3 linked regions of the Lytechinus pictus genome follow. The protein of the gene in region 3 purifies or fractionates together with the protein of the main gene of each other region. This does not show direct contact. Links are inferred from orthologs where the notes say so. Each region holds a gene or a part of one and is shown on either strand. Other genes may lie near its edges.

What was found.
Region 1: the proteins of proton-coupled zinc antiporter SLC30A5-like (region 3) and zinc transporter 6-like purify together in Homo sapiens (co-immunoprecipitation; 5 studies listed by BioGRID and IntAct, with this or other methods). This does not show direct contact. The link is inferred for Lytechinus pictus from reciprocal best matches to the Homo sapiens genes SLC30A5 and SLC30A6.
Region 2: the proteins of proton-coupled zinc antiporter SLC30A5-like (region 3) and protein-L-histidine N-pros-methyltransferase-like purify together in Homo sapiens (co-immunoprecipitation; 3 studies listed by BioGRID and IntAct, with this or other methods). This does not show direct contact. The link is inferred for Lytechinus pictus from reciprocal best matches to the Homo sapiens genes SLC30A5 and METTL9.

The regions. Positions count from the first base shown.
Region 1 is NC_087251.1:1,066,082-1,073,243, reverse strand, and holds the start of zinc transporter 6-like, read right to left. Parts: upstream 3,082-7,162; 5' UTR 3,027-3,081; coding exon 2,976-3,026; intron 2,504-2,975; coding exon 2,419-2,503; intron 1,927-2,418; coding exon 1,818-1,926; intron 976-1,817; coding exon 895-975; intron 338-894; coding exon 158-337; intron 1-157. UniProt on the Homo sapiens protein: Has probably no intrinsic transporter activity but together with SLC30A5 forms a functional zinc ion:proton antiporter heterodimer, mediating zinc entry into the lumen of organelles along the secretory pathway.
Region 2 is NC_087246.1:64,750,530-64,757,963, reverse strand, and holds the start of protein-L-histidine N-pros-methyltransferase-like, read right to left. Parts: upstream 3,064-7,434; 5' UTR 2,848-3,063; coding exon 2,740-2,847; intron 1-2,739. Other genes in the region: serine/threonine-protein kinase 24-like, read right to left, coding at 6,251-6,423, 6,907-7,434. UniProt on the Homo sapiens protein: Protein-histidine N-methyltransferase that specifically catalyzes 1-methylhistidine (pros-methylhistidine) methylation of target proteins.
Region 3 is NC_087249.1:15,765,179-15,772,894, reverse strand, and holds the start of proton-coupled zinc antiporter SLC30A5-like, read right to left. Parts: upstream 3,112-7,716; 5' UTR 2,823-3,111; intron 586-2,822; 5' UTR 441-585; coding exon 397-440; intron 1-396. UniProt on the Homo sapiens protein: Together with SLC30A6 forms a functional proton-coupled zinc ion antiporter mediating zinc entry into the lumen of organelles along the secretory pathway.

The sequences.
Region 1 (7,162 bases), on a different chromosome or scaffold from region 3:
AGAATTGCAAGCCAGCAAGAGGAGAGTTTGATAAAGAATTTCACTACACAATAATATAAATGATTGATTCATAATCATAACTGACATTGCAAAGCATCACTGTTTATATTCGTTGAATCTTTCTACCCTACCACCCTTTCAACAACATATTTCTCACCTCTGGCAAATATCAGCAAAGTGTTCTTGTAACCAGCTGCTCTTAGATGCTGTACTAACATGACTAAAAGCTTGGTTCCTAGACCCGTATAATAGGACCAGATGACTGAATAGACCTAAGATGGCTCCTAACATTAGCCTACCAGTGTGTATCTCTGGGGGCTGAATGATTCGCTCAGTACTGCAATGAGAATGATAAGAATGAATCTAGGTTGATACATTTTACTGCTCTGAATTACAGTTAAAGTTATCTAGTATATTACTGACCTAAGATCAAGGATAAAATTGTTTGTAAAACTAGGCAATAATTTTAAAAGACTCAATGTACTCGACAGTATTCCAGTCTTTATAAGAAAAACATGTTCATAAACTTCATTGTAAAATCATATGGTATAGGCTATCAAAATGCATTTCATGAATATCACTTAATTTTAAATGAGCTCATTCCTTGTGTAAATGTTTAAACAATGATTGACATAAATCATTGACGTAAACAATTTCACATGTAGGTATAAATCATTATCAATTTTAACAAATAAAAATTTTATCACAAAGACACAAAGAAAATATGATGGAAGACACTTGAGACAAATTTATGTTTATGGCCGTAATGGGTCACAAAATATATTTTCTCTATGATTAATATATTACCAATTAGTACAGTATGCAATTTCACATGCATTGAAATTATATTTCAATTTACAAGAATTACTATGATAGCATTGTGTATAACATTACCTTTCTTTCATAATGAATATAGAACCAAATATGGCAAGCACTGTTGTTGAGAATACTGCTAGGACCTCAAATCGTTCGTACCTGCAATAAAGAAATAGTGATTAACCTAAAATCTAGCCTTGTAATCAGAGGGTCATGTGTTCAGATCCCACCATGGCCTAGCATCCTTTGGCAAGGCGTTAATCCACACTTTGCCACTCTCCACCCAGGTGTTAAATGGGTACCCGGTAGGATGTGAAAGCCTATATGTAGTATGCCTAGCAATTGAGTCTTGAAACTCTTGTTGGAATGCTCCCCAGGGTGTGGAGAAGGTGCATACATTGTATGCGGGCATGCAAGGATCCGATGACCGGGGTAATAATATGTCTGTAAAGCGCTTAGAGACGTCGTTCCGATGTATTAAGCGCTATATAAATGCGGAATATTATTATTATCATTATCAAAACAAAAACATAGAATTGAGGAGCACAATCCATTATCACATACATGTACTCAATGCATTATAATTTACATATTTGTTCTTTGCATTTAATATAATCATCCAAATCAAACTCTATCAGCATTAAATGCTTGAAGGTTTGAGATTAACATAGATAGTCATTCACTGAAATGTAAAATTAACCAACACAAGTTTACAAGCTAAAGTTTTTGCTTGATTAATATCGACAGTCATTCACACGAAGAGAAAGTTGACTTGCACATAAGTACAAATGCTTAAAGATTTTGCTGGATTAACATAGATAGTCTTCCACACAAATGGAAACTTGACTTACCCAATAGTTTAAGTATAAATGCTTGGAGGTTTTTGCTTGATTACATAGTCATGTACGCAAAAGAAAAAATTGACTTACCCATAAGTATAAATGCTTGAAGGTTTTTGCTTGATTACATAGTCATTTACGCAAAAGAAAAAATTGACTTACCCATAAGTATAAATGCTTGAAGGTTTTTGCTTGGTGACCCAGATGGTGATGAGACAAACACCAAGAGATAGAACGTCAAACAATATAATATAGGTGAATGCTGTCAAAGCTAAAAAATATATATACAAAAGAAAATAATTGATTTAAGCCCGTCTAAAGCTTTGGTGAATAAAAGTTTAAATTATATAGAGTTTCATTTAATATTTAAATTTACAAGAGTGTAGAACCCATTAAATCTCTTTTTCATATGTTGAAAATATGACTATCGCATTTGAGAATAATAATCTCCGTCTCTCTTCCAGCCATATTCAGGTTTAGGGGTTAAAAACAGTATTGAAAATGCAGAGGACCTTCTCCCCCCCCCCACCAGCCAATCAATTTTGAAGGTAAAAGTCTCCTTTTTTTGTTGCATTGTTTGCGTTAGCATAATAATCACATCTTCTCACTGATACATGTACCTCTAATAATCCTGCTTTAGTCACTTGTTAATTACTAATAATCAAAGTGATTTTAGTCATGAGGAAGCACTCTATGTATACCATTGCTTATGTCCCATTTAAATCTGAATAATAGATTTTCAAAGGGGTATGTGTTGTCTTACCTATACTGTTAGTTGATTGGCACCATAGGAGCATGATGATGATACACAATGCCCCTATTAACCCTAGCATAAAGATTCTTTTGGCCTAAGGAAAGAAAGAAAACAGATGTACCAGTAACATATGTCTTCAAGTATATTTCATAAAAACAACACATGCACCTTGATTTTCAATCAGAAGCATATTTATTTCTTGTTGCAATCAATAAGAAATATTCAAGCACTTGAGGTTTAATATTGAGATCATTTATTTTCTTGTTGGAAATATGGCAACAAAAGACTAAGTGTCACAGCTGTCAAAATTATTTATATTGATCATTCATGTGTGAAAAGGCAAAGACTAGTAGAATGAAGATTATTGTGTCATCTGGTGCCAAGGCAACAGAAAGTCTATAGAATGAAACATGCATCGTCAATCAAATTCAATTATAGGATGTATATCACATGGTCTGATATCCCTTTTTCTTATGGGTTTGGGATCAACAGTCCAGTTTGGGTGGGGCAATACCCCCACAGATCATCTACACTGAAGTTTAGGGGAGGACGCTGGTAGCACTTACTTTATGTTCCTTCACGAGTGATCTTAACTCTGTCATAATCCTTGAGATCATCCCATGCTGAGGTCTGGAGAATGGCTGAATTGTTCCATGAATAAAATTGCTGCCACTCCCTGTGAATGAATGATGCAAATTAATAACAATAAAATCTGTTTGTTACTTCTCTTTTTTCAAAATAAAATTTTGTAGAAAAAAATGAGACTTTTCTATTTTCAATTTGTTGCTGGTTAAAAAGTTCAACAGAGAGTATAGTAAAGCAAATCTACTGGTTAGATTTATTTTGTAAAAAAAAAGAAGATTTATTTCTTCAGAATCATCTCTATCTAGTACCTTTCTTTACATTTTATTGGGAACCAGCATGTACAATATATGGAGAATTTTCCATAGAGTTGTATGGTTGGACCGACCTACCCTAATTTTCTAAGCATCATATCTGCAAAAATATTCTTCTTCTGTTGAGTACAGTCCTCTTTACAGAGTATAGTCGTACTTGGCTGAGGCCGCAATCACAAAAAGACAGTATGACATTTGGTGCAGTTGAACAAAACTAAACTATAGTGCAAGTAAAAAGATGCATCTCAACTCATCAGCTTTACCCTGTTTTTATCTCATTTGTGCAGAAAATTGAGCAGATCAGAATCCCATGATTAGACGACTCAGATTCTATGCACGTAGATATCAGCGATCAACAAATGCGATGATTTCAAATATTCTCATTTGCACCCCTTTTTTAGGACCGACCACCCGCCATGCACTAAATTTACCGCCGATTCTTGTCGCGCTGGCGAAATATTTTGACTCTTCCAAGTCAGTTCTATGATGTCATCATGCTGGTTGATTGTCTTGCTACTTCCATCGCAAGCTCCGACACAGGATTCGACCACCGACGACGGATTATTTGTTCAAAAGCAGTTTCCTTTTGGATTTCCGGTATTAACAGCTATTTGGCAGTGGGGTTCGGGTCTGGTCAATATTATTTTGATAATTTCTACAATTTTCTTACCTTATTATCCCTCTTTTTCTCTTGTAAAATTGATTCTTATCGTAATATTGTTCCTACTCTCCAGCGCATAGTGATTGTTATACGCAATCATCTGACTTCATGCGCGCAAGGACAAGGTGGCCGGTTTCAAAAGAAGTGGTCGATATGTGTTGGACATCCAGACATTGGACTTTTAGTAGAGGCGCAGGTAAAAAATTGGGATTGTCACAGAAAACACGGATATCTTCATAAACCAGGGCGCGACAAACCCGCTTGCCCGGGGCAAGAGAAATTGACGTGCGGGCAAGCATTTTTCAAAGTCAATTGCCCGATCGGGCAAGTGCCTGTTTTGAAAATGAAAAAGATAAATTGACAGTAAAGTTTAATAATTTTTTTATAAATTGCAATTATCTCTCATACAATGTCATACCAGTAAAAAAACAGTGGAAACATGTCAAATCAGCGCCAATTTACCGACATTTTATCGCCAGCGGTCCCGTTCGATGCCGATGGGGGCAGCCATTTTACTTTCTAAACTACACTGTGCGCATGCGCTACTAATCGACGAAGGAGCTAGCTGGGGAAACTCCTCTCTCGCCCTCTGAGCACATGCTCTAATACATCAGCGCTACAGTACATGTACGGACGTACACAAGCGATCGCGAGCCAGTCGACTCTCGAGCTAGATCATGCTGAATGCATGCAAGCTTCGGACTGACTCAGCCAGGACCAGGGTGACCAGACGTCCCGTATTTTATTCATTTCTAAAACATTTTATTTTTTTATTTTTTTTTAAATATATAAAAAAACATCAAATATCATTTTAGGATTTTGGTTATATGATTGGATTGTTTTTATTTGCTTGAAGTTTGAACTTTTTCCTCTTTCTTTCTTTTCTATCCTTCTATCCTTCCTTCTTGCCCTTTTTTGTTACATATCTATTTTTATTTCCTGATCCTTTCTCTCTCTCTCTGTCCATTTTCTTTCTTTCCTTCTTTCTCTTACTTGCCTTCTTTATTACATTACCTTTTTTTTTATTTCCTTCATTCCTTCTCCCTTCCACTCGTTTTTATTTTCGTTCTTTCTCTCCTTCCATTATTTTCTTCTTTTTTTCATTCTGGCCTACCTTCATTCTTTCCTCCCGCTCTTTCCTCCTTTTTTTCTTTCATTATTTCTTTCATTTTGTCCTTATTATTTTCCCTTATACTTTCTTTCCCTTTCTTCCTTCATTCTTTCCCTCCTTCCTTCCTGTTTTCTTCTTGCTTTGTTTCTTTCTTTCCAAGAATGAAGGAAACATTTTCTTTCCTCCTCCTTTTTTCTTACTTTCTTTTTGTCTTTCTCTTCTTTATTTTGACTTGCACACATTTATTCATCTTCCCTTCTTTTCTTTTTTTTCTTTCTATCTTCAATTCAAAGAATGACGGAAACCTTTTTATCTATTTTTATTCTCTCTCTCATCCTTCTTTTATTAGAACTTTCTTATATTTCCTTCATTTTCCCCTTCATTTTTTCTTTCTTACTTCTCAATTCATCTCTTTTCTTTCTATCCTTCATTCTTTTGTTCACCCTCCCTTCCAATTCTGAATATTTTTTTTCACAAGTCTAACACTGTGTAGCCTTCTTTCTTGATCTTTTTTTTTTGTTGATTGCCCTGTATTTCATTTTGTGAAATCTTGTCACCCTGGCCAGGACTCGGCTTCAACTTCAAACCAAATAAACAATGAGTCGTCAGACTAAAATAGGCGACTTTTGTCTTCGTGATCGGCGACCAGAACAACTTGAACAAGAGTCAAGAAAAAGAAATGCCAAAGGCAGCGCCAGTAAATCAAGTTCAGCCAGGACAGAAAAGAATAATTAAGAGCAAAAGAATTTTTGAAAAAAAATCGGGCAAGCAGTTTTTTCTATCGGGCAAGCAAATTTTTTTATCACTTGCCCGACAGGGCAAGTGATGATTCTTTTTTTGTAGAGGCCTGCATAAACCAAGATTAATCATGTCTTGATAAACTGAGATTGTCCTTGTTTATGGGGACGTTTTTTTTTTCACTTACCCCTGCGGGATATAGACGGCAATTACGGGGATTGAGAGTGCAAAAAATAGATTCAGTGACCTCAATTCCCCCCAGTTCACTGTTTATTTTTCACAACTTGCTGTCTGTTAGTGCTTGCAGGGGGTACAGGGGGTATATACTTGTAGCCCATTTACATAAGTTAGGGCTAGAAAAGTAAAGATTTGATAGTTTGTTGCTAGAGACAAGTCTATCCATGGCATGGCCATGGGAAAAATGACCGTGTGGAAGGTGAATGCTGTCTTAGCTGAATCCCTGGCTCCATGGAGATTAAGCACGTCAGTGAATACTTAGGAGCCTCCTGGCCTGGCTAGCTACGTCCTAGTATTGTAAGTGATTGTATTACCAACCGGCCTTGTATTACCGAACGCGCGCATCGTACGCGTCAGAAAATAATTTCATCATACGCTCAAAACTTTGCAACATCCTTCAAAAGGGAACTTGAAGAGAAAGATGATGAAAACGGTCCAAAACACATTTTCAAAGTCTTAATATTCTAAAAATAATCAAATATGGTCAAAATAGCTCAATCAGTGATTTTGTTGATTTCTCAACTTTTCCCATAGAAAACACATGTTCGGTAATACGATACCTTTTTCAAGAATCAAGTGACCAAAATATTTCACATGCAAAGAGGGGTCCGATTGTGTATTTATGGTGAAAGTTTCTGTTTGGTGAATTTCATGAGAAAAATGTGTTAGATGATTATGAATTCATGAAAAGTGTTCAGTAATACGATCCACTATCAGTACCATACTGACTATACAGACTGGTTCCCATTCATGCCATAAGGTTTATCGCAAGCGAAAGGCAATGAAATCAAGATGGCGACGTAAACACGGTGGCAAGTTTCCCCCGTCTTTTAATAACATTTTCTTGTTTTTTTAATGAATTCTTGTTTACAAATGAAATCCATAGCGTAGAAATGTCTGAAATGAAGTTGAATCCCATTTACATGATTTAGCCAGGGCTAGATCTTTTTGAAGTAGAAATCTCGGGGGTGAAATTTTCAGTTTTTTGGCGGTACACAGAGATGAATGGGAAGGAATTCCTGGCTCCGTTCAGCGGCGTAACAGGGGTCGGTGGCCAGGGGGGGCAAGAGCCAAAAATTTCCCGGTCATATCATTGAACAGGCAATGGCG
Region 2 (7,434 bases), on a different chromosome or scaffold from region 3:
ATAAGTTGATAGGTGAAAGTTTGAACAATATTGGACAAACAACAAGAAAGTTATGAATTTTTAAAAGTTGTAAATATTGGTAATCACTATACCCATGGAAACTTCAAATTGGCTGCATATGGGATGTTATAGTGATGTATGGCAAGGACTACTCTTCCATGTACTCCAATACATATTTTGGCTAAAGTGTCATTTTCCCCCAAAGTTTTATTTCAAATTATGTTTTTCTTTCATGAGGACATAAAACAATATACTACCTGGGTTATGTTTAGATTACTTCCCCAGGGGAATGGGTACTTAAGAGAAAATCACAAATCCCTGATAATAAAGTACATGGCCTATGGGAAAGTTGTCCTTGCCCCTTGTCATAATTAACTTACCCAGTTGCCAATTGGAAATCTACATAGTATTAGTGATCTCAATTTTAAAGCAGCTATAACTTTTTTATTGCTTGTCCGATTTCTTTCAAACTTTCACCATTCTGTTTAATTTATTTTTCTCCTTCCAAACACAAAATTTTATGGCCAAGGCTGGATTCCCCTTTAATGAAACTACTTCACTCTCTCTCTAAATTTATATATATAAATTTTGCTTCACTTTTGAAAACAAGGTTCAAAATCACAATAAATTCAAGAGACGGTTCCTCTTCATTTTAATTCATAAAACATAGAAAGCTTCGCCTGGGAGCGGGAAACTCCCTCTCCCTGCACCCACCCCCTAGGGAGCGCACTTCGCGCACTCTGTGTTAGCACGCCTCAAAAATGAAATCCTGGCTACGCCTACGCCAAGGCTCCACATTAACTTTTTTTGGTGGTGGCCCGTTCGGGCCACCAAAACCATCAAATAATTTTTTTTGGTGGCCCGATATTAAAGTTTGGTGGCCCGAAAAATATAAAGAAACACATTAAAAATTAATAAAACAAACTTCTGAAATATTAATTCTGCAGCCACTACCACTAAGTTACTTTCACTTTATCATCTTGTATGTAAACCTTGTTTGCTGTTTTTGCTAATTGGCTTGTGGTAAAATATAAATTGTTTCTATCGTTGTAAAAATTAGAACAATGCATAAAAGGGGGAAACAAATGAAAATAATTTTCAAAAAGTATATTACAAAAAGAAAACAAAAATAATAAAAGAAATAAGTGAAATAAAACAAAAGAAAGAAAATGAAGAAAGGAAAAACAAAGAACAGGGAAAAAAAAGAAAAGAAAATTTAGAGAAAAAAAAGTGAAAGAAAAATGAATAAAACAAAATTAATATAAAAATGGGGAAAAGGGGAAAATTAAGAAGCCATTACGAATATTTTTTAACAGCTGTGGCAACAGTCTATTCTGACTGGAATATAATTAAAAGCCAAGCAAATAATTTTCACTTACCTTCTGGAAATGGCACATTTCTATTTTTATATCCTTTAGTTTGTATTATTTTATTTTCAGTAGAAACATATTTTTTAATCAGGTATATTCAATAGGAAGGGGTATAAATGGTTTAACCAAGTGCTGTAAAAAAATGAAAGAAAAAAAATAAGAAGAAAACGGCAATAGTTATATCTGGAAAAAAAGTGAGAGAAAAGTCCTTCCCTATATTTGCCAAAATGTTGAAAAAATTCACATTTCATATCAATGAAATGCCTTCCCAAAGTATCTCAAGAGTGGTTTAAGAAGTCATTTATAAACAAGAAAGAAAGAAACTGTCTGTTTATTTTTGGCTAGAAAAGACACAGCTTCGAAAGAAACCAAGTATCAACATACATACAAATGCACATGTGGGACTGTGATGTACATGCCTATGTGTTTTTATGTGTATTAATTCATTTGGAAATCGGTCTTTTGTAGTCAAAAGAGAGGTCATAATTCCTCTTCTTAATGCTTGCAAATAATCAGGGTACACCAAATTTTCGTAATATAGACTGTAGAATGTCATTTCATTGGTGTAAAATGTGACTTTGACTCAGATTTTCAAAGTTCTGTGGAAGATTTCTAAGCAGCAACATTTTTTATCGCAGCTCCCAGAGTGTGAATAGGCTGAGCTAGATCTAGAGCATGCACAGCTGTATGCAGTGGCTTCATGCAAAGCTAGCTCACGCCAGCAGCCGGCCGGTGCGGCTGGCTGGATAATAGCTACTGTATGCTATAACTGTAGGCCTAATATGCAAACTGTGTGTGTGTATTTGTGTGTAGATCAACAAAAAGGGCGCATGACGAACTGGGTTGCAATTTGAACTGTAGAAAGTTGATAAATGCGTGCAAAATCGGGAGAAAAATTGCGCTACTTTTGAAAATTATTGGTTGCCCGATTCGGGCCACCAAAACTTAACATTTTATCAATAATGGTTGCCCGATGTGAATTTCTGGTGGCCCCGGGCCACCGGGCCACCGCTAATGTCGAGCCTTGCCTACGCTACGCAGTTGGTCTGTGTACGAGTCATAAAATTACGTTAAAAACTCCTAGAAACTGATGCCATGGCTGCCAGCTGTCTACCTCGATAGATGTTGTCCTAACCTCGCATGACTGTGATCATAACTTCAACATAAGCTCTTTGATTTGAAAGTTTGAATAAGTACAGAGTCAGGGCAGTGGCAGTCTCTCACAAAAACTATATAATATATTGACATGTAAAAAAATTAGATACGGTACACAAATACAAAAATAGATATGTGGGACCCTTGCCTTGTAAAAAAAAATATACCAGCACCAAACACACATTGTTTTCTTTCTAGATTCTTAGTATCTTACCGCTTCCACGTCATAATATTTTCTCAAATTTGATCTCCTGAACCTCTCATCTGTATTATGTTCATGTATTGCACGGAGTAATGGGTTGCGAATTCGATGAGAAGCCATAATAAATTCGTCTTCAGTCAGTCTCGGAAGTTAGTCGCTTGACTCTATCATGATCAACTAGCTAGCTAGACCGATCAGCTGCGCTGCATCCCGCCCCGGCCCCCCGGCCGCGCCCCGGTCCCGCGGCCAGGTGATGTGAGGCTAGCTAAGCGGCGAGGCCGGTGCATGCAAGGATGCAAGGCAGTTTGATTGGATTGGATTGGTTCGGTTTGGTTTGGGTTGGGCCCGGGCGGGGGCCCGGGTTGGGTTAATTGGGTTGGTGGCAGGCGCGGATCCAGGGGGGGGGGGGGGGGCACAGGGGGCACGTGCCCCCCTTTTGAGAAGAAAAATTAAAATTTGTAATGTAAAAATGCCATTGAAACCGAGATGTGCCCCCTCTTTTGAAATTGAAGACCTTTTTTTTTTTTTTGCTTGTCAAATTTTTTTCGGGTACGAAATATCCTTAATTTGTGGTTGAAAACCCTTTTTGGGGGGGCTTGTCAAAATTTTCCTCCGAAAAAATTGCCCCCCCCCCTCCCTTTAGGAAAATCCTGGATCCGCCCCTGGTTGATGGGTGGGTTTGTTGAACATTCATTGGAAAAATAGCGGGAAAAATAGTAACAAAATATTGCCGGTTTGAGAAAAATCCATGAAAGGATGAAAAAATAAATAGAATTTGAATTATAGGCCTATGATCTGTGACGTCATATGCGAGCAGCTTTCCTACATATCGTATGGTAAAAACTCAATCAAATGTGATTTTCTCAGAAAATTGAAAATGGTATTCACTGTACCTTCAGTACACTGGCGGATCGATCCAGGGGGCACCAGCCGGCCCGTGCCCCCCTTGACAGGCACAATTAAAATTTGGAATGTAAATATGGCGTTAGAACAAGATATTGCTCAGGTTCGGATCAACGGGTGGGGGGGGGGGGTGGGCGGCAAGAGGTCTTGGCACAAGAGAAATCTACCCCCCCCCTCCAAAAAAAAGAGATACAAACCTTAGTCATTTGAGAGTGATGACAAACTTCTTTTTTGTCTTTTTGATTGTCAATTTTTTTTTTGCATATCAAAAAAAAAAAAGATAAAAAGATAAATCACATATCCAACAAACTGCTTAAAAAGTTCCTTTTTTTAAGTTGTCTGCCTATTGTTAAAAAAAAAACAATGTGTAAAAAATGTCCGTTCTTAAGGTTGCGCTTTGCGCCTTTGCATAAATTTAATTACTGGTATAGCCTTCATTACCCCCTTCATGACTTTTCTTTATGCATGTATGTCAAACAATGCTTCAATTCCTTTCAAGATTAGTCAGGTATATGTAGGCCCATTTATAAATTTCAGCTCGCGCTTCGCGCTCAAATTATAAACAAATAACGGATACCGTTACTATTATAAAGGTGCTCAAAATCTATAGTTTTCAGGTATGAACATCAACAATAATCAGCTCACACTTCATAATGCTCGCGTTATTTGTTTAGTAAGAGATATGGCGTGTTCATGATTAAGGAAGTAAGTGTTTAGGCTATAATGCATTGTTTTTAGGTCGCGCTTCGCGCGCGCATCTTTAAATGGTGAAACACGTATCATGTTACTGAATTCATACCAAGAGTCCTTAAAAAGCCCCCCCCCCCTTCCCGGCTCAAGGTCGGAGTGACGCCTATGCATGGTCCCTCTTGATAACCAATAAGTGCATATTGCAATATGCCTATCATGCATCATCATCGTCATCACCATCATCATACCGCCATTATCATTATCCTGATTATCATTTTCATATAATTAATATCATTGTTATCATCATCATCACCATCATTATACTGTATGCATGGTAAGGTTTCAATAAAACTTATTCATAACGCACAGCAAGATCGGCAGTGATATTGAATTTAATAATTAATATACCAATAAGTAACACAGAAATGTCAAATATTTCAAGCATAATGGCAAGTATTCTGAAGTCCAGTTTAATTTATGGTCTAACTGTGTTAAAAAAATGGGAAGCCGAAAATATATGCTTTTTACGTTTATTATCCCCCTAATTCCCAGACAGTTATGAATTGACTTTGTGTAGAATGAGCTAATTAATTGCGCCTACAATGTTACGATTTTTTTGTAACATCTGACTCCCATAGCTTACCAGAGAGTGTTTCAACAACATTTTCGTCCGACAAGTCAGATCTGACAACTCTTCTTGAATGTGGTTGGCTGAGAAGCACCATTACCATGGTAACTGTCAGATAAAACAGGACTTGTCGGATAAAATGTCCCACAAGAGCTTTCAAGTTACGCTCCCAAGAGTCCATAGAGTTCAGAATTTAAGGGTTTTGTCTTTGCATAAATCAAATTACTTAACAATAACTAATTTTAATTGCTTTTTAAACAGAAAAGTCACACAGAAATGTCGTATATATAATATTTTTTTGCATACTTCGAAAACTTCTTTTTTGTATACAACTATAGCTTGCGAGGAATTTGAAAAGATAGTCCACAAACTTTAATGGCTCATCATTATAACATGATATTGAATGTAACATAACATGTAAAATATTGAACTTGGCAGTGAAAAGGCAAATTGAAATGCTGTAAATTTTTTTTCTTTGAATGAATCAATAGTTTATGTTAAATCCATCATTTTTCATATCTTTCGGAATGATTATTATAACATTTACTGAAAATCATACTGCATATGTTCTTTGATAAGAATACTTATTCATAAAATCTTAGAATTTCTTTATTATCCCATGAATATAGTGAATAAAAACAAAAACAAAATACGTCTTAAATTAAAATAACAAGTTATGCGCCTGCGCACTGAAAACACTATTATAAATACATCATCAATCGAAATTATAAATACAATATTTCTATTACTATTTATCCGGTAAAAAATTGTTAATCAGGGGTATTTCATCAATATTTTTCGTCCGAAAATGTTTTAGATCCGATGAGCGCTTCATTAACATTTTCACCCGACAAGTTATCAGGTCTGACAACTTTCCTTGATTATGATTGGCTAAGAGACAATGTTACCATAGTAACTGTCGGATAAATCACTACTTGTCGGATAAACGTCTGAAACGCTCGCCAGACCTCTTTTGTTGATTTTGATTGGCTGAGAAGCATTGTTACTATGGTAACTGTTGGGGACTTGACGGATAAAAATTAATGTTAAAACGTCTCACAAGTCATTTTATGAACGCTCCCCAGGTAATCCATTTGCTTCTGCAAACTCATCATTAGTCTGCTACCATTCCCTGCTTGACAATTATTATCGTGTAACCGTTTATAGACAGATGAATTAGTACGACTTCATATACTGTATATCCAGCAAGACCAGCATAATTATATGTCTGCAAATCTTTTTAAATATTGATGGTCCAAATGTTTTGCTCGGAAAGATTTTGCTTTTGTGAAACTTCACTCTTCATCGATGTTTTTTAACGAGTCTTTTCCAGAGTGGAATTTGGCGGCGATCCATTTGTTTCTTAAAGGAAGTGATATGTTCGAGAACAAAGGAAAGGTCCGGTCTTGACTGTGGATTCCTCTTCATGCATTTGATGGCTAAGGATGTTAGATCTTTCAGAAGTGGACATCTTTCTGCATGGTTGTGGAGGAGAAGAATTTAAAGTAAAACGGACACAATCAGGAAAAAGGTAACTGAGTAAGGAAATCTTCATTAATCCGGGCATTATTCAAACCAATTTTTTTTTTTATAGAAGTCTTTTATCTTTGCTTTCAAAGGAAATACATTCCAGTTATGCCATCAAAGCGGTTATCGCTTCTGCTGGTTGGACAATGGCGTAACCCGACTATTCAAGAAAATTGGCCCCAAACCGGTCCGAGACTCCGAGCAGTGCATGGGGATGATAGCAACTAATATATTGACCTGAAAATTCATAATTTTGGGGACAAAACCTCCTGCCCTACCCCATTTTTATTTTTATTTGGCAAATTGCTTGGCAGAAAATATGTACACCACTGTCCCCACCCCTCCTTTAGCCAATCCTTGATATACGCCCCTGTCCCCTATATATTCTATATACTCCTCTGATAAATTACACGAGGAATCTTGCAAATTACCTTCTACAACTTTTGTGATGTCTTCAAGGATTTTGCCAACTGAGAATACATCCGATGAAATCGATGTTGACTGTCCATGTAGAACGACCTCGGGGGCTACGTAATCACCCTCCTCTCCGTGAATGTATGCTACTTTCAATTCTTCAGGAAGCTCCGTCATCTGTAACGGCGACGAGATCGTACTGACCATACCGAAGTCAATGATGACGGCGTGGTAACTATGACCTCTTTTCTCGAGAAGGACATTATCGGTCTTGAGGTCGTTGTGCAGGAGCCCTTGGTCGTGAAGCTCCATCATTCCTCGCACGACGTCCTCTGCGATGTCGAGGCCGTTTGTAACAGACAAAGACGGAGGCTCGAGGAGAGAGAAGGAGGTCCCCGACTTTTGATTTCCAACAAATTCTATTGCCAAGCAGGGGTCGTTGTCGAGATCGAGCGTGCCTAAAAAGCTCGGAAAGTACTGACTGTCGGATAGAAGTTGGTGAACAATTGCCTCTTTCTCTACCCTAGCACTGATCGTGTCAGTGG
Region 3 (7,716 bases):
TTTACTTTTTCACCATATCAATATTTCATACCAATTAAGGAGTGTAATTTGTATTCATTTCATTTTAAATCATCAACATGAATCAATAATCATTCAATTCCTTAATCCAACAATTATCTTTGCTGCACAAATGATACAGTACACTGTACGTCATGTGCATTACAAGGGATAAAATTTCAGTCATCCAAAATCGGTCAAGCCCTTTCTATTCACTTTTATGTGCCATAGTTATAGTCCTATAAAGAAAAACGTAAGAAAGTCAAGGTAAAACAGGGCAAACATATTATTGAAGGAATATTTAAAATATATATATGCAAAGCTTTATTGTACTTTAAAATCTAAACTGAAAAAAAGAGAGAAAAAAGAAAACCAAACTTGGACAATGAAATGACATACCTCTCATGGTGGACTCGCCCTAGATTGCTAGTAGAACCCATCATCTTGAAAGCTGATCACCTACTAACATGTATTATCACTGATGTGTTAGAAAACTAGTACAGGCTTGAAGGAACATCTGTGTTGTTCTTAATGTTCTTAACAAGATCTTGTAGGATTAGGTAATTTTTATATTTTCCATTCCAATATCTGAGGAGAGAGGTATGAGACAAACGAGGTAGGATCAATCATTTTTCTTAAATTAATAAAATAGAGCCAGAATCTTAAAGTACAAAACACACTTAATTCATGATAGCATACAAAATTTGGCGAATGCAGTTTCGCACCAGCCAACTTTAAAATTTCACTAGTATTGTTCACAAGTCTCTCGATCACATTTCAAGGTAAATCTCCCACCACTTTTTTTAATATCGCGGTCGGGAACGGCTGTATTTGGGCTTCGATCTGGACAGCATCATTCAAATTCTTAGACATTGCTTCGCTTGGATTCGCTGTACCGGGAATTTATTTGTGGATTGAATTTAGCGACCAAAAATCATGCGAACATGTGGTGAACAAAGGGGTCAGCTGCCACAGGAAGATCTTTTGGTCATTAACTTCAGTCTATATCAAACCTACGATGAAGCTAAACATTACCAAGCGAAGTGACATCTGAATGAAAATTCGACAACGACTTCAAGATCCAACTGAATAACAGCCGTTCCCAATTGTAATATTCAGAAAACCGTGCGGTGGGCACATTGATTGTGGAATGTGAGTGTATGACATTTTTTAACAATAATACAGGTGGGTAAATTCTCTCGAAGTCGGCCAGTGAAAAACTCCATCAGCGCCCGAAACACATTACATCTTATTACGGTACGGTATGTTCTACAATTTGTACAAAAAAAAAACGAGTTGCTCAAAGTCAAAACAGCAATAGTCTAAATAAGTCTAAGACGTGAATTTTCCAACTCCCGGCTCCCCTTGCCCCCTCAAAAAAAAAAAAAATTAAAAACACACCTTTAATAGGCCTACCAAACATTTTCAACTGACCAAAATACTTGAGGGATGAGATCAGAAGCTGAGTGATAACTTGTCTTAAGTCTTTAGTTTAGTGCACTGCAAGTGTTATCGCAAGTTTGGCAAAGAATTTATTTTAACTTAACTTCAACTTCAAGACCACTCTAGGCGACACCCCAATACTTACCCGTGCTAATAAACTGGGACTCCACTCACGCGCGTATGGGCCTCCCTAGCTTAGAACTAAGCACTAATATCACCTTAAAAACTAAATCTACAATTACAAGGTATGTATAATCTATTTAAAACTTTAATAATGTTTATTCGGTACTCACCGGTTCTTTTGTTGCATTTTCAGACCATTTCTCACAATTCTTCGTAAATATTTGCGGCAAATTTTGTCGCCATAGACAGCTTAGCGTCCATCTTTATTGATAAATGGAGCGCCCTTTACGATAGTTGTTAATGCCGCGGATAAATCGTTAGGCATTTTGGCCTGTGTTCAAGGCGTTCTTTCTGTTTTATTTTTTATATTGAAGATTGTGCATTTGTTGAATAGCGCCGTCTACGTCAGGTATGAGATCGAGTGTATAAATACACTCTTCCAAAATAATTATGATTCCGACCTGGCGCTGTTTAACTTCAATCTCTTTCACCTAAATTAGCGATGAATGCTAGCATTATAAAATATATATTATTAACGTCTGACGAAAAGAATAACCAACCGATCAGCTGACGAGAACGCGAATCACGTGATCTTCATATCAGCTTCGATCGCGAGTCAGAAGAGAAGAGCAGCTGCCCAGAAAATCAGGAAAAAGCCGTGAAAATGTAAGTTCCCCTTCATTTCTTTCATTTTTTGTTGTTGCTAACGATGCATTTACACTATAAAATTATAATTTAAATAAGAGAAAGGAATATAGCTTGTACTTGTGATATAATTGCCTAAATATCCTGTTCTCAGAGATTTCTAACCAAAAATACTACTGATGTCGCCTATGAGGTCCATACATGTAATGTTGGACCTCATTGGTACTAGGAGTGTTCAAGACCAAGTTCAGACTCAGAATTAATTTCAGAAAGAAAACTGATCTCGGCAAAAAATCACATCTTTCAATTTTATTCTTGTTGGTATTTGCGTATCAATGGTGGAAGTTTGATGCAGGAATAATAAAAAAATATCGCGTTTAATATATGATTGAAATTATAACAAGTGTTCGACAAAATGATCGTCCACAGAGGTCAGAGTTACCGCCTACCGGTGCTTGTCAGAAACTGGCGAACATGCCATGAAAATGGGCATATGGGACCGAGGCGAGGGCGAAGCTTGGGCCTAGGCTAGCTGCAAGCAAAACTTAGGAGTTAGGTCTTAGGAAAAAAAGACCCTATTTTGCAAACTGGAAAATGATTCACTCTTGTCTTACCTGCCTTAAATTCTTGCAATTGTATACTTCTCATGTTTCAAAGGAGTTTCAGAAAATTGACGCCTTGAGACCTAACTTACTAGTGGATTGATAATACGGCCACGTAATGTAATTCACTGCATGCATGCAAGCCTATGTCAAGTGAGCCAACAATAAGCCAGCCAACAGCAAGCCAGCCAACAGTTCCAGCCAACAATATCGCGATATATTAGATAGATCAGATACAGGATTTTGCGCACGAAGAGAAGCGTGCATTCTTGTACAAAATCAAACAAACGGGGTCAGTGCTACACGGGCCTGTTCTCTAGTGGCAGGCCATAGATATTCATTCGAGCCAACCCATTGCTATTTTTTTTTAATTTTGATATGGCTGATTGACAAAGTGTATGCATATGATTTTCCATCTAACACTGATTCTATTTTTGGTAATTACTGAACTTCCTTTTCCCAAATTGGGAAGAAATATCACCAATTTTGGACTATATTTTGACAGGCGGAAGGATTAGGGCTATTTTGCTGTTTGAGGTGATGAATCTCCTCTTTATAAAATACAATTGGAAGATTGCTCCTGAAATATATTTTGGGTGTGTGTAGGGGGGTTTCCCTTCTTTCAATTTGTAAATAAAAACAACGGGCTAGTGCTTTAGTTTTAGTAGCCCACACCCCTATATACTCTATGTTTTTTCGTATATTGAGGAGTAAATTTCAACTAAAAGTCCTCTTTCTAAAATACAATTGGAAGATTGCTCCTGAAATATATTTTGGGTGTGTGTCGGGGGGGTTCCCTTCTTTCAATTTGTAAATAAAAACAACGGGCTAGTGCTTTAGTTTTAGTAGCCCACACCCCTATATACTCTATGTTTTTTCGTATATTGAGGAGTACTAATTTCAACTAAAAGTCCTCTTTATAAAATACAATTGGAAGATTGCTCCTGAAATATATTTTGGGTGTGTGTAGGGGGGTTTCCCTTCTTTCAATTTGTAAATAAAAACAACGGGCTAGTGCTTTAGTTTTAGTAGCCCACACCCCTATATACTCTATGTTTTTTCGTATATTGAGGAGTAAATTTCAACTAAAAGTCCTCTTTCTAAAATACAATTGGAAGATTGCTCCTGAAATATATTTTGGGTGTGTGTCGGGGGGGTTCCCTTCTTTCAATTTGTAAATAAAAACAACGGGCTAGTGCTTTAGTTTTAGTAGCCCACACCCCTATATACTCTATGTTTTTTCGTATATTGAGGAGTACTAATTTCAACTAAAAGTCCTCTTTATAAAATACAATTGGAAGATTGCTCCTGAAATATATTTTGGGTGTGTGTAGGGGGGTTTCCCTTCTTTCAATTTGTAAATAAAAACAACGGGCTAGTGCTTTAGTTTTAGTAGCCCACACCCCTATATACTCTATGTTTTTTCGTATATTGAGGAGTAAATTTCAACTAAAAGTCCTCTTTCTAAAATACAATTGGAAGATTGCTCCTGAAATATATTTTGGGTGTGTGTCGGGGGGGTTCCCTTCTTTCAATTTGTAAATAAAAACAACGGGCTAGTGCTTTAGTTTTAGTAGCCCACACCCCTATATACTCTATGTTTTTTCGTATATTGAGGAGTACTAATTTCAACTAAAAGTCCTCTTTATAAAATACAATTGGAAGATTGCTCCTGAAATATATTTTGGGTGTGTGTAGGGGGGTTTCCCTTCTTTCAATTTGTAAATAAAAACAACGGGCTAGTGCTTTAGTTTTAGTAGCCCACACCCCTATATACTCTATGTTTTTTCGTATATTGAGGAGTAAATTTCAACTAAAAGTCCTCTTTCTAAAATACAATTGGAAGATTGCTCCTGAAATATATTTTGGGTGTGTGTCGGGGGGGTTCCCTTCTTTCAATTTGTAAATAAAAACAACGGGCTAGTGCTTTAGTTTTAGTAGCCCACACCCCTATATACTCTATGTTTTTTCGTATATTGAGGAGTACTAATTTCAACTAAAAGTCCTCTTTATAAAATACAATTGGAAGATTGCTCCTGAAATATATTTTGGGTGTGTGTAGGGGGGTTTCCCTTCTTTCAATTTGTAAATAAAAACAACGGGCTAGTGCTTTAGTTTTAGTAGCCCACACCCCTATATACTCTATGTTTTTTCGTATATTGAGGAGTAAATTTCAACTAAAAGTCCTCTTTCTAAAATACAATTGGAAGATTGCTCCTGAAATATATTTTGGGTGTGTGTCGGGGGGGTTCCCTTCTTTCAATTTGTAAATAAAAACAACGGGCTAGTGCTTTAGTTTTAGTAGCCCACACCCCTATATACTCTATGTTTTTTCGTATATTGAGGAGTACTAATTTCAACTAAAAGTCCTCTTTATAAAATACAATTGGAAGATTGCTCCTGAAATATATTTTGGGTGTGTGTAGGGGGGTTTCCCTTCTTTCAATTTGTAAATAAAAACAACGGGCTAGTGCTTTAGTTTTAGTAGCCCACACCCCTATATACTCTATGTTTTTTCGTATATTGAGGAGTAAATTTCAACTAAAAGTCCTCTTTCTAAAATACAATTGGAAGATTGCTCCTGAAATATATTTTGGGTGTGTGTCGGGGGGGTTCCCTTCTTTCAATTTGTAAATAAAAACAACGGGCTAGTGCTTTAGTTTTAGTAGCCCACACCCCTATATACTCTATGTTTTTTCGTATATTGAGGAGTACTAATTTCAACTAAAAGTCCTCTTTATAAAATACAATTGGAAGATTGCTCCTGAAATATATTTTGGGTGTGTGTAGGGGGGTTTCCCTTCTTTCAATTTGTAAATAAAAACAACGGGCTAGTGCTTTAGTTTTAGTAGCCCACACCCCTATATACTCTATGTTTTTTCGTATATTGAGGAGTAAATTTCAACTAAAAGTCCTCTTTCTAAAATACAATTGGAAGATTGCTCCTGAAATATATTTTGGGTGTGTGTCGGGGGGGTTCCCTTCTTTCAATTTGTAAATAAAAACAACGGGCTAGTGCTTTAGTTTTAGTAGCCCACACCCCTATATACTCTATGTTTTTTCGTATATTGAGGAGTACTAATTTCAACTAAAAGTCCTCTTTATAAAATACAATTGGAAGATTGCTCCTGAAATATATTTTGGGTGTGTGTAGGGGGGTTTCCCTTCTTTCAATTTGTAAATAAAAACAACGGGCTAGTGCTTTAGTTTTAGTAGCCCACACCCCTATATACTCTATGTTTTTTCGTATATTGAGGAGTAAATTTCAACTAAAAGTCCTCTTTCTAAAATACAATTGGAAGATTGCTCCTGAAATATATTTTGGGTGTGTGTCGGGGGGGTTCCCTTCTTTCAATTTGTAAATAAAAACAACGGGCTAGTGCTTTAGTTTTAGTAGCCCACACCCCTATATACTCTATGTTTTTTCGTATATTGAGGAGTACTAATTTCAACTAAAAGTCCTCTTTATAAAATACAATTGGAAGATTGCTCCTGAAATATATTTTGGGTGTGTGTAGGGGGGTTTCCCTTCTTTCAATTTGTAAATAAAAACAACGGGCTAGTGCTTTAGTTTTAGTAGCCCACACCCCTATATACTCTATGTTTTTTCGTATATTGAGGAGTAAATTTCAACTAAAAGTCCTCTTTCTAAAATACAATTGGAAGATTGCTCCTGAAATATATTTTGGGTGTGTGTCGGGGGGGTTCCCTTCTTTCAATTTGTAAATAAAAACAACGGGCTAGTGCTTTAGTTTTAGTAGCCCACACCCCTATATACTCTATGTTTTTTCGTATATTGAGGAGTACTAATTTCAACTAAAAGTCCTCTTTATAAAATACAATTGGAAGATTGCTCCTGAAATATATTTTGGGTGTGTGTAGGGGGGTTTCCCTTCTTTCAATTTGTAAATAAAAACAACGGGCTAGTGCTTTAGTTTTAGTAGCCCACACCCCTATATACTCTATGTTTTTTCGTATATTGAGGAGTAAATTTCAACTAAAAGTCCTCTTTCTAAAATACAATTGGAAGATTGCTCCTGAAATATATTTTGGGTGTGTGTCGGGGGGGTTCCCTTCTTTCAATTTGTAAATAAAAACAACGGGCTAGTGCTTTAGTTTTAGTAGCCCACACCCCTATATACTCTATGTTTTTTCGTATATTGAGGAGTACTAATTTCAACTAAAAGTCCTCTTTATAAAATACAATTGGAAGATTGCTCCTGAAATATATTTTGGGTGTGTGTAGGGGGGTTTCCCTTCTTTCAATTTGTAAATAAAAACAACGGGCTAGTGCTTTAGTTTTAGTAGCCCACACCCCTATATACTCTATGTTTTTTCGTATATTGAGGAGTAAATTTCAACTAAAAGTCCTCTTTCTAAAATACAATTGGAAGATTGCTCCTGAAATATATTTTGGGTGTGTGTCGGGGGGGTTCCCTTCTTTCAATTTGTAAATAAAAACAACGGGCTAGTGCTTTAGTTTTAGTAGCCCACACCCCTATATACTCTATGTTTTTTCGTATATTGAGGAGTACTAATTTCAACTAAAAGTCCTCTTTATAAAATACAATTGGAAGATTGCTCCTGAAATATATTTTGGGTGTGTGTAGGGGGGTTTCCCTTCTTTCAATTTGTAAATAAAAACAACGGGCTAGTGCTTTAGTTTTAGTAGCCCACACCCCTATATACTCTATGTTTTTTCGTATATTGAGGAGTAAATTTCAACTAAAAGTCCTCTTTCTAAAATACAATTGGAAGATTGCTCCTGAAATATATTTTGGGTGTGTGTCGGGGGGGTTCCCTTCTTTCAATTTGTAAATAAAAACAACGGGCTAGTGCTTTAGTTTTAGTAGCCCACACCCCTATATACTCTATGTTTTTTCGTATATTGAGGAGTACTAATTTC